3 linked regions of the Macaca mulatta genome follow. The protein of the gene in region 1 purifies or fractionates together with the protein of each later gene. This does not show direct contact. Links are inferred from orthologs where the notes say so. Each region holds a gene or a part of one and is shown in the gene's direction. Other genes may lie near its edges. The genes, in order: PTCH1, CCNB1 and GRK2.

What was found.
Region 2: the proteins of PTCH1 (region 1) and CCNB1 purify together in Homo sapiens (affinity purification with western blotting; 3 studies listed by BioGRID and IntAct, with this or other methods). This does not show direct contact. The link is inferred for Macaca mulatta from reciprocal best matches to the Homo sapiens genes PTCH1 and CCNB1.
Region 3: the proteins of PTCH1 (region 1) and GRK2 purify together in Homo sapiens (affinity purification with western blotting; 3 studies listed by BioGRID and IntAct, with this or other methods). This does not show direct contact. The link is inferred for Macaca mulatta from reciprocal best matches to the Homo sapiens genes PTCH1 and GRK2.

The regions. Positions count from the first base shown.
Region 1 is NC_133420.1:127,945,277-127,949,407, forward strand, and holds the start of PTCH1 (protein patched homolog 1), read left to right. Parts: upstream 1-1,322; 5' UTR 1,323-2,179; coding exon 2,180-2,386; intron 2,387-3,079; exon of another isoform or gene 3,080-3,358; intron 3,359-4,005; coding exon 4,006-4,131.
Region 2 is NC_133411.1:77,240,173-77,243,702, forward strand, and holds part of CCNB1 (G2/mitotic-specific cyclin-B1), read left to right. Parts: intron 1-1,252; coding exon 1,253-1,411; intron 1,412-2,219; coding exon 2,220-2,456; intron 2,457-2,738; coding exon 2,739-2,879; intron 2,880-3,169; exon of another isoform or gene 3,170-3,271; intron 3,272-3,530. UniProt on the Homo sapiens protein: Essential for the control of the cell cycle at the G2/M (mitosis) transition.
Region 3 is NC_133419.1:7,100,201-7,104,349, reverse strand, and holds the end of GRK2 (beta-adrenergic receptor kinase 1), read left to right. Parts: intron 1-191; coding exon 192-292; intron 293-770; coding exon 771-837; intron 838-909; coding exon 910-1,005; intron 1,006-1,265; coding exon 1,266-1,428; intron 1,429-1,905; coding exon 1,906-2,042; intron 2,043-2,133; coding exon 2,134-2,247; coding exon of another isoform or gene 2,248-2,269; intron 2,270-2,323; coding exon of another isoform or gene 2,324-2,344; coding exon 2,345-2,509; 3' UTR 2,510-3,625; downstream 3,626-4,149. UniProt on the Homo sapiens protein: Specifically phosphorylates the agonist-occupied form of the beta-adrenergic and closely related receptors, probably inducing a desensitization of them. Key regulator of LPAR1 signaling.

The DNA.
Region 1 (4,131 bases):
TCCGAAAACAAAATTTTTAAAAAATAAAAAGCCTAGTTGTGTAGAGGTGTCTGACTCCAGGATCCACCTCAAAGGGTCGCGTGTTTTCCTCCTCCGCGGGAAGCGAATCCCCGGGATGTCTTGGTGACACTGGACGCGGTGTCGGGACAAACCCTCGCGATCCGCGCACAGTTTGTTTTGAATGAATCCAACATCGGGCATTTATAATCTCCAACGTCATACTATTATTAAATATAACATGCATACCGGGTTTTGTAAAAAACTTACTGTATAAACATCTGGTTAATAAAAAGGGGGGTACAAATGAACCCAAAATAATCAGGAAAACTTTACTCTCTCAAGGAAGCAATTACGTTTCTCTGAGTTGTAAAAAAGGATTCTGTTGTTTCTCTTTTACTTATGTCACATTCGAGATTCAAATAAAAACGCCTCTGCCTCTACAAGACTGCTTCGGTGTCTGGATTCCACGTTTATAGAACACTGACTCCTTCAAACCAAGACTGTACTGTCGGTTTTTTTTTTTTTTAAGTTGGGGGAGAAAGCGGCGGGGGGAGGGCAGACGGATTTGAAGAAAGGGTGGCTTTTCCCAACGTCTTTGCTTTCCTCTTTAACTTTCCATTCTGTTTATCTTAATGCGAGGCGTTGTTCCCTGCAAGAGCCTAAGTCTTCCCTTTAGTTATAAAAGAAAAGAGAGGAGGAAAAAAAAATCTGGCACACACTGGCGCACTATCCAGCACGCTGTCATTATTGGTGCAGGCCTGGGAATGCGAGCCGGACCTCCCAGTATTTGCTGCAGCTTGAGGCCAAGGTGCCTCTGAAAGGCTTTTCTTTGAGGAATTTCAGAAATTGTTTAAGCGCTTAAAAAAATATTACATTTCCCCCCGTGTCTACCGCGAGGCAAATGTTCGTGTGTGTGCGTGCGCGCGCGTGTGTGCGCGCAAAGGGCATCCCACAAAAAAGAAGACACTGTTGAAAAGAAAAGGAATAAGAGAGAAAGGAGGGGGAGCATTCCTTAATGGAAGTATTGCATGCGAGAAGGTTGGCGCTCTCAGAGGCTGCCCCGAAGCCGGGGATGCACACACTGGGTTGCCTACCTGGGTGGTCTCTCTACTTTGGTGAGCTGTTGCTAAGCAGCTAATAATAGTCATGTTTGCTGAGTAATTTCTGCCCTCCGCGAGCCAATCGCGTCGCAGAAACCCAAGCCATCTGACAGCCCCGGGGGCGGGAGCTCCAGCCTTTTTCTCTTTCGCTCGCTCTCTCCCCCTCCACCCCCTCCCCTCCTCCTCTTCTTTCTCCAAATGGAGAGAGTTCTTTTTTTTCTTCTTCCATCTCATCTATTGAATCAAGGAGCTGCTGCGGCCGCTGCCCGCTGCACACACACAGAGCGGAGTCCCCAGGTCCCGGGAGCGAGAGAGGCGCGCTGCACGGGGACAGAATGGTCCAGCGGGTTGCCGAGGAGCACAAGAAAGCAGAGTCCGGGACCGAGCAGCCACCGCGAACCCAGCAGCCAGAGCCCGAGCAGCCCGAGCAGCAGCTCCTGGATCCGCCACCGCCAGCAGCAGCCACCGCGGGAGCAGCGGCAGCGGCGGCTGCCCCGGCCCGGCAGCGCTGAGACCCGCCGGGCACCCTCGGACCCCGCGGCGGCGGCGGCTCTGCGCTTGCCCTCCGCGGCCGCTCGGGCGACCCGGGAGGCGCCGAGGGAGGCAGCGCGGCCGGCGGGAGCGACGGGGATTCGCTGGCTCTTTCTGCAGTGAAGGGGTCGCGGCGCGGGGCGGGGGGCGGGTAGGGGGTGTTGGGGACCGCAAGGAGTGCCGCGGAAGCGCCCGAAGGACAGGCTCGCTCGGCGCGCCGGCTCTCGCCCTCCCGCGAACTGGATGTGGGCAGCGGCGGCCGCAGAGACCTCGGGACCCCCGCGCAATGTGGCAATGGAAGGCGCAGGGTCTGACTCCCCGGCAGCGGCCGCGGCCGCAGCGGCAGCAGCGCCCGCCGTGTGAGCAGCAGCAGCGGCTGGTCTGTCAACCGGAGCCCGAGCCCGAGCAGCCTGCGGCCAGCAGCGTCCTCGCGAGCCGAGCGCCCAGGCGCGCCAGGAGCCCGCAGCAGCGGCAGCAGCGCGCCGGGCCGCCCGGGAAGCCTCCGTCCCCGCGGCGGCGGCGGCGGCGGCGGCGGCGGCGGCGGCAACATGGCCTCGGCTGGTAACGTCGCCGAGCCCCAGGACCGCGGCGGCGGCGGCGGCGGCAGCGGCTGCATCGGTGCCCCGGGCCGGCCGGCTGGAGGTGGGAGGCGCAGACGGACGGGGGGGCTGCGCCGTGGTGCCGCGCCGGACCGGGACTATCTGCACCGGCCCAGCTACTGCGACGCCGCCTTCGCTTTGGAGCAGATTTCCAAGGTGCATTTCAGACTCTCTCCTCTCCTCCCACTTTCTCTTCCCTCCTCTAACTCTTTGGGATCGCCCCCGCCACACACACACACACACACACTCTCTCTCACACACACACACACACAAACACACACACTCTCTCTCACACACACACACACACACACTCACACCTCTCCAGGAAAAGCAGCAGACAAGTGGGGATTGAAAAATTCAAACCCTCCCTCTAGTCCTGGGAGGAAAGGGCTGTCTCAGGTCCGCAGGGGGTGGAGGTGTGTGCTTGTGTGTGTGTGTGTGTGTGTGTGTGTACACACACCCTCCCCGGCGTGCCTTTTCCGGAGCACTGGAAAGCCGTCCACGGCGGACCACCTCAAAGGCGGCCGTGGTACTGCCCTGCCCCGTGCCCCCTGCCCTGGAACTCCCTCCTCCTGCGCCCCTGCTCCTATTTGCAGCCTAAACCCCTGTAATGCTGCCACATTTCTTAACATCTTGGAGGGGGAGGCGGAGTGGAGAGAGGCGGAGAGAGGAAGGGGGGAGGGAGCCGAAATAAAGGTGGTTTCCTTTTTTGGCAGCCGGTTTTGCTTTTGTTGAGCATGAAATCTCTGCTCCCTTAAAAAATTATTCTCGGAAAAAGACATTCCCCGTGTTTTCCAGGTTTTGAGCCGCCTCTCCTCAGGGCCTGGTAGGGGGAGGGAAAGTTGTAAACAAATTGCCACCTTAAATTCGCGGTGCGAGTCTGCGGAGCGGCCGGGTTCATTGTGTTTACGAGGCTCGCTGAAATGTGTGGAATCCGGGGAAGGCGAGCACCCAGACGGGGGCCCGCCGGGGCCGCGGCCAGCGCCGGGGAAACGCCGCGCCGGGGAGCAGCCTGCGCCGGCCTGGGCCCTTCCCTGTGCACTCGGCTGTTTTTTACGTTTAACCAGAAAGGAAGGGAGAGGAGGGAAAGATCCATGTGGCCGCCCTCTTCCGATCACAAATATTGTCGTAAGTTGCAGATGGCTGCCCCACTTCCTAATTCAGCTCACACAGCCTCTTCCAACGCTGTGGAAAAGCGTCGGGAGTGAACTCCGGCGGCCGCGCTCACCACGTGGATCCCCACTTACTACCACTCTAGGCGGGGGTCCAGTTGGGGGAACCCGCAATATGTTGTTCCCAAGCGCGCTCGCCCCTAGCGCCCGTCCCCGAGGGTGATGGACGGAGCAGGACTGGTTTGCTGGCTCCTGAACCTTGGGTTCCATCGCTGGGATTACGCAGCCCCTCCCTTCTCAGGTCTGGGGTGAATATTGCCTGTGTCTAGTGGTTTCTCTCCTCTCTACCTCGGCTTCCTCTTCTCCTGTATTGCAGCCCCAGTGCCCCAGGTCGTACTCAGGGATCCCGCGGGTGGGGGCGCCCTGATGTCCCCGAGGTGCAGCTCCCACGCTGCGGCCCGGATTTGATTTATGACCGAGCCCGCCCCCCCCCCATGACGCTCAGGTCCGCCAGGGCTGCAGCCTCGAGGGCGAGTCCGTGTGCCGCGGCCACCCGCGCCCCCACGGCTGCTGGGGGCTCACCGGGCGGGTGCGCGCGACCGGGCGTGGGCGCGCGGGCCGCGACTCCCCGGCGCTCACTCCTCCCTTCTGCTTCGTCCCCAGGGGAAGGCTACTGGCCGGAAAGCGCCGCTGTGGCTGAGAGCGAAGTTTCAGAGACTCTTATTTAAACTGGGTTGTTACATTCAAAAAAACTGCGGCAAGTTCTTGGTTGTGGGCCTCCTCATATTT
Region 2 (3,530 bases), on another chromosome or scaffold:
TACATTTTCTTGGGGAAAGTATACGTGCTCTAGAATGAATGTGCGGGTGGCTGAGAGAATGCTACAGACATCATAGCCTATAATGTATACAATAGTATGAAGGGCTGTTTTGGAGGAGAGGCCAAACTTAAAGTGAATAGGCAGAAGGCACATTGGATTAGCATTTAAAATAAAGTCACTCTTGTCCCCCACAGTTCTTAGCTATGTTGCTATTGGGCTTTAACCCTGGAGCAGGCAGGAGTGTTGTAATAGATGGGTTCCAGCTGCCCTGGGAGTTTGATATTTTCTCTACGTAAAGCTCAGGTTCTAACTTTAGAGGCTCAAGTGAAAAGATCTGAGATGATAGTATAGTATCTTTATTTGGAAGGGAGTGGACTAGCAAGAGTTGTGGTGAATTGAATATCGTAAGACCTGACAATATAAAAAAGCTGTCACACTGTCCTATCTAATGTTTGCCCTTTTTTGGCGGGGGGGTGAAGGGGGAACAGTCTCTCTCTGTCACCCAGGCTGGAGAGCAGTGGTGCAATCTCGGCTACCTGCAACCTCCACCTCCTGGGTTCAAGCAATTCTCCTGCCTCAGCCTCCTGAGCAGCTGGGACTACAGGTGTGCGCAACCACGCCCAGCTAATTTTTGTATTTTTAGTAAAGAGAGGTTTTGCCATGTTGGCCAGGCTGGTCTCGAACTCCTGGCCTCGAGCAATCTGCCCATCTCAGCCTCCCAAAGTGCTGGAATTACAGGCATGAGCCACCACGCCAGCCTTAATGTTTGCTTTCTTTCTTGGTGATGGTGTTGTTTGTGGTGACCATATGAATAATTGAATTAAGAACTGATACAAAGGCTGGGCACAGTGGCTCACGCCTGTAATCCCAGCACTTTGGGAGGCCAAGACAGGTGGATCACGAGGTCAGGAGATCGAGACCATCCTGGCTAACACAGTGAAACCCCGTCTCTACTAAAATACAAAAAAAAATTAGCCAGGCGTGGTGGTGGACGCCTGTAGTTCCAACTACTCGGGAGGCTGAGGCAGGAGAATGGCATGAACCCGGGAGGCGGAGCTTGCAGTGAGCCGAGATCGCGCCACTGCACTCCAGCCTGGGCGACAGAGCGGGACTCCGTCTCAAAAAAAAAAGGAACTGATAGAGATTCTAAATGCCCCAGTGCTACTTACTGTAGGAACTAACTGATCTTTCTGGACATAAATGTGTCACATGGAGTCATGTTTCTAAGAATAATCGGCATTTTCTTTTGCAGGAAGAGCAAGCAGTCAGACCAAAATACCTACTGGGTCGGGAAGTCACTGGAAACATGAGAGCCATTCTAATTGACTGGCTAGTACAGGTTCAAATGAAATTCAGGTTGTTGCAGGAGACCATGTACATGACTGTCTCCATTATTGATCGGTTCATGCAGGTAAGCATTTCAGTAAGTTTTCCCTTCCAGGATTCTAGCCGAGTCATAAGAAGCTGACGTTTTTGGGCTGGGCCGGGTGTGGCGGCTCATGCCTGCAATCCCAGCGGGTGGGTGGATCACGAGGTTAGGAGATCCGAGACCATCTTGGCTAACACAGTAAAACCCCGTCTCTACTAAAAATACAAAAATCGGCCGGGCGCGGTGGCTCAAGCCTGTAATCCCAGTACTTTGGGAGGCCGAGACGGGTGGATCACGAGGTCAGAAGATCGAGACCATCCTGGCTAACACGGTGAAACCCCGTCTCTACTAAAAAATACAAAAAACTAGCCGGGCGAGGTGGCGGGCGCCTGTAGTCCCAGCTACTCAGGAGGCTGAGGCAGGAGAATGGCCCGAACCCGGGAGGCGGAGCTTGCAGTGAGCTGAGATCCGGCCACTGCACTCCAGCCTGGGCGACAGAGCGAGACTCCGTCTCAAAAAAAAAATAAATAAAAATAAAAAAAAAATAAAAATACAAAAATTTAGCTGGGTGTGGTGGCGGGCGCCTGTCGTCCCAGCTACAGGAGGCAGAGGTTGCAGTGAGCTGAGATCGCGCCATTGCACTCCAGCCTGGGCGACAGAGTGAGACTCCATCTCAAAAAAAAAAAAAAAAGAAAGAAAGAAACTGACTTTTTCAGCTAAAATCTTTCTTGGGGGATATGGTATCATTAATTAAGATTTTGCAATGGGAGAATGTCTTTCTACCTCTCCATCATAGCTCTGTGTCTCCTTTTCAAACATGTTATTCATTGTGTTGAAATTCCCATTGCAGAATAATTGTGTGCCCAAGAAGATGCTGCAGCTGGTTGGTGTCACTGCCATGTTCATTGCAAGCAAATATGAAGAAATGTACCCTCCAGAAATTGGTGACTTTGCTTTTGTGACTGACAATACTTACACTAAGCACCAAATCAGACAGATGGAAATGAAGATTCTAAGAGCTTTAAACTTTGGTCTGGGTCGGCCTCTACCTTTGCACTTCCTTCGGAGAGCATCTAAGATTGGAGAGGTACAGGTTTCTTAAGAAACCTTTCGGTATGGGTACATTAGGGAACACTGCTGCTGACCAAGCAAGTCGAATTCAACTGACCTATATTATACCTAACTACATGGGGAAGAGAGAAAGTTGTTCTTTATTTTTAGTCAGGCTGCATGTTAATATTAGGGCTTTCCGTGGGCATTTGAGAGTTTGTAGACAAACATTTGTAGTTAAAAGATACATATGGGCATGCAGGTTAGTGCCAAATGAAAATTTTCTGAAAGAAACTCAGTGACACGGGTTTTGTTTCAGGTTGATGTTGAGCAACATACTTTGGCCAAATACCTGATGGAACTAACTATGTTGGACTATGATATGGTGCACTTTCCTCCTTCTCAAATTGCAGCAGGAGCTTTTTGCTTAGCACTGAAAATTCTGGATAATGGTGAATGGGTAAGCTCTGTCCCACAGAACTCCTAAGCTTTTAAATTGTAAAGAATGTTTGACTAAATACAGAACTTTTGTTATTAAAGGGCAATTCAAGTGATTCATAAATATGGGATCTACTGAAGGAATAGTTTAAAAAGATGTCATAGAATGTTTCCACATGGTTTTGTTTTTGAGACAAGGTCTCGCTCTGTCGCCTGGGCTGGAGTGCAGTGATGCAGTCTTGACCCACTGCAACCTCAGCCTCCAGAGTAGCTGGGACTGAAGGTTTCTGGCTAGTTTTTAAATTCTTTTCATGTCAGACGGGTAATATGCCCACGTTGTAACAAGGTTTGAGGGTGGCACATTTCACACGTTCACATGAACACCCAATCATCACACTTATAAACTACAAGAGTCGCCCACCAGCCTGGGCAACGTAGCAAATCCTCATCTTTACAAATATATATATATATATATATATATATATATTCAGGTTGTTGCAGGAGACCATGTACATGACTGTCTCATCTTTACAAATATATATATATACACACACACAAATATATATATATACACAAATATATATATATACACACACAAATACATATATATACACAAATATATATATATATATATATATATAGGCAAATGTCTGTAGTCCCAGCTACTCTGGAG
Region 3 (4,149 bases), on another chromosome or scaffold:
CTACTCTGGCCTCCGAGGCAGACCTCCTGCCCCTAGGCTCTTGTCCTCCCCTTGCTGTTGGAGCACCTGACAGATGGAAGCTGCGCCCCATCTGTCCCTCTGCCGGGGGCTTGGACCCCTCTCTCCCCTGAGCTGGGATGGGGTCGAGGGCTCTTCCTAAGCCCCTGCTAATGTCCCACTCCTCTCTAAAGGCTGTGGAGCTGCCCGACTCCTTCTCCCCTGAACTCCGCTCCCTGCTAGAGGGGCTGCTGCAGAGAGACGTCAACCGGAGACTGGGCTGCCTGGGCCGAGGGTGAGTGCCCTGGCGCCTTGGGCATGCTGCCGGCTGTGCCCCCATGAGGACAAGGGCTGTGTCCCGTCACCTGGAACCCCCTCCAAGGTCGCAGCCTCCTTGGAGGAGCTCACAAGTTGGGGCATGGCCAGCCCTGTCCAATGTTCTCAGGGTGGAGGGGCTGCCCTGGGGGTTGGAGCTGCTGGAACCAGCTGGTAACTGGCTTCCAGAGGGGCCCTTGTCACAGACAATGATAATAGCAGCTTTTTATGTTTATTGAACATTTATTAAGCACTGGGCATAGGGTTGCAAAATTTACCAATGTTAAAACCCACAACCCTATGATGTAGGAACTTCTGTTCTCCCATTTGAGAGATGAGGAAACAGCTCAAGCTTAAGGAACTTGCCCAAGTTCACAGAGCCAGAAAGTGGCTCAACCAGGAGTTAAGCCCAGGGCTCAGGGTGGGGCTGAGCCCAGATGACTGGCCTCTCCCCGCAGGGCTCAGGAGGTGAAAGAGAGCCCCTTTTTCCGCTCCCTGGACTGGCAGATGGTCTTCTTGCAGAAGGTAACAGTCTGCGGCAGGGACTGGGGGTGCTCTGCAGTCCCACCCCCGAGCTAATGCCCTGTTCTGCTGCAGTACCCTCCCCCGCTGATCCCCCCACGAGGGGAGGTGAACGCGGCTGACGCCTTCGACATTGGCTCCTTTGATGAGGAGGACACAAAAGGAATCAAGGTACTGGGCCTTGCCTGGCCTCTTGTACCTGGGCTCTGATCCTGGCCTGGGGGAGGATCCCTGTCCCTTCTTATCACCCGTGAGACCCTGTGCCAGCCCTGCCAGCTTGTAGGCCTCAGCTCCTCCTCAGCCAACTTCCCTGGGGGTGGCAGTTGCACTGACCATCCCTACCCAGGGCCCTGGGTCTGGGCAGCCTGTGGCTGATGGTATTCCGGCATCTCTGTCCATTCATGTGCCCCTGCCCCATCCACCTGGTAAAGTTACTGGACAGTGATCAGGAGCTCTACCGCAACTTCCCCCTCACCATCTCGGAGCGGTGGCAGCAGGAGGTGGCCGAGACTGTCTTCGACACCATCAACGCTGAGACAGACCGGCTGGAGGCTCGCAAGAAAGCCAAGAACAAGCAGCTGGGCCATGAGGAAGGTGAGGGTCGCCGGCTGCTGCGGCACCAGGCCCCTGCCTGCTTAGAAGGGAGCAGCTGGCTCGGGTTTAAGGAACTCGCCCTGGATCACAGCCAGAAAGTGGCGGCTCTGGGATTGAAACTCAGGCTGGGGCCGGGCGTGGTGGCTCACGCCTGTAATCCCAGCACTTTGGGAGGCCAAGGAGCGCAGATCACTTGAGGTCAGGAGTTTGAGACCAGCTTGGCCAACATGGTGAAACCCTGTCTCTACCAAAAAATACCAAAAAAAATTAGCCGGGCATGGTGGCACGCGCCTGTACTCCCAGCTACCCGGGAGGCTGAGGCGGGAGGATCGCTTGAACCTGGGAGGTGGAGGTTGCAGTGAGCCAAGATTTTGCCACAGCCCTCCAGCCTGGGCAACAGAGTGGAGACCCTGTCTGAAAACAACAAAAAAGAAACCCAGGTGGGGCCGGCTGAGTCTCCTCTGTCTCTCACCTCAGACTACGCCCTGGGCAAGGACTGCATCATGCACGGCTACATGTCCAAGATGGGCAACCCCTTCCTGACCCAGTGGCAGCGGCGGTACTTCTACCTGTTCCCCAACCGCCTGGAGTGGCGGGGCGAGGGCGAGGCCCCGGTAAGGAGCCCGTGCGGGGGTCTGGGAGCTGGGCTTCCAGGTGGCCGGCCGGCCCGGCTCTTACCCGCACCACCCATCCCTGGCCCTGCAGCAGAGCCTGCTGACCATGGAGGAGATCCAGTCCGTGGAGGAGACGCAGATCAAGGAGCGCAAGTGCCTGCTCCTCAAGATCCGCGGTGGGAAACAGTTCGTTTTGCAGTGCGACGTGAGTGGGGGCTGGGCTGGGGGTGGGAGGGCCAAGGGGCCAGGTCAGGCAGGCTGGGGAGAGCCCCAGCTAACAGAGCTGGGCTTGGCATGTGTAGAGCGACCCTGAACTGGTGCAGTGGAAGAAGGAGCTGCGTGACGCCTACCGCGAGGCCCAGCAGCTGGTGCAGCGGGTGCCCAAGATGAAGAACAAGCCGCGCTCGCCCGTGGTGGAGCTGAGCAAGGTGCCGCTGGTCCAGCGCGGCAGTGCCAACGGCCTCTGACCCGCCCGCCTGCCTTTTATAAACCTCTAATTTATTTTGTCGAATTTTTATTATTTGTTTTCCCGCCAAGCGGAAAAGGTTTTATTTTGTAATTATTGTGATTTCCTGTGGCCCCAGCCTGGCCCACCTTCCCCGGGAGGGGCCTGCTTGCCTCAGCTCCTGCTGCACCAACCCAGCCGCTGCCCGGCACCCACCGTCCTGACCCCAGGGGCTGCCCACTCCCAGTGTCTTCCTGTGGGGGAAGAGCACAGCCCTCTCGCCCCTTCCCTGAGGGATGATGCCACACCAAGCTGTGCCACCCTGGGCTCTGTGGGCTGCACTCTGTGCCCACGGGCACTGCTGAGTGGCCCAGCCTCCCTCACTGGGGTGGGCGCAGCACAGGGATCCGACTGAATTTTCCCACTGCACCCCTCCTGCTGCAGAGGGGCAGGCCCTGCACTGTCCTGCCCCACAGCGTTGGTGAGAGGAGGGGCCTGTTGTCTCCCTGGTCCCCAAGGCCTCCCACAGTGACTCGGGCTCCTGTGCCCTTATTCAGGAAAAGCCTCGGTGTCACTGGCTGCCTCCACTCCCACTTCCCTGACACTGCAGGGCTCGGCTGAGAGGGTGGCATTGGCGGCAGGTGCTGCTACCCTCCCTTCTGTCCCCTCTTGCCCCAACCCCCAGCACCTGGGCTCAGGGACCACAGCAAGGCTACTGTGGGTTGGGCCATACTGGCCTCGCCTGGCCTGAGGTCTCCCCGATGCTGGGGCGGGTGCGACCCCTTCTGCCCAGGACGGGGCCGGCCAGGTGGGCGGGCAGCACATCAAGGAGGCTGGCTGGGGACTGTCAGTGTGCCCCCCACCCCGGCCCATCAGTGTACCCTTGCCCAGGCTGGCCAACCCCACAGCCCACGTCCTGTCAGTGCCGCCACCTTGGGGCGCCGCCTCGCCCACCGCATGCCCCCTCGTGCCAGTCACGCTGCCTGTGTGGTGTCGCGCCTTCTCCCCCCCGGGGCTGGGTTGGCGCACCCTCCCCTCCCGTCTACTCATTCCCCGGGGCGTTTCTTTGCCGATTTTTGAATGTGATTTTAAAGAGTGAAAAATGAGACTATGCGTTTTTATAAAAAATGGTGCCTGATTCGGCTGTCTCAGACTCTTTGTACCTGGTGACTGCTTTTCAGCCTCTGCTGGGCTGGGGCCTGAGCGGGAGGGTCTCGGTGGTACCAGGTCTCCACCACCACCACGGCTTCCAAGGTGGCCTGCTGGGGCCCAGGCCATCTTCCAGGTGGGGTGAGGCAGTGAGTCCCACTCCCCGTCCTGCCCTTCCCAGCTGGCAGTCCTCCCGCCTAGTGGCTGTCCAGTGCCCATTCCTCACCTTTTCTCAGGGAGGAGAGAGCAGCTTCTGCCACTTACCAGGTAAGTAGGAGGAGGTGCCAGCAGTGTTACATCTGGTGCAGTGTCTGGGCTGACTGCGACCTTCTCAGGCCCACAGAACACCCCTGCACAGCAGGCTCCAAGCTGACGCCCCTCCCCAGAAACAGTCACAAGGCATGTCTGCTCTCTAGATCGCGCCGCAGGCCCTTGGCCATCTCTGGCTTCAGCCTCCTCTCTGTTCTCACTGCACAGCCCTAGTAGGGGTCCCTGAGGCCTGAGGGGAACCCC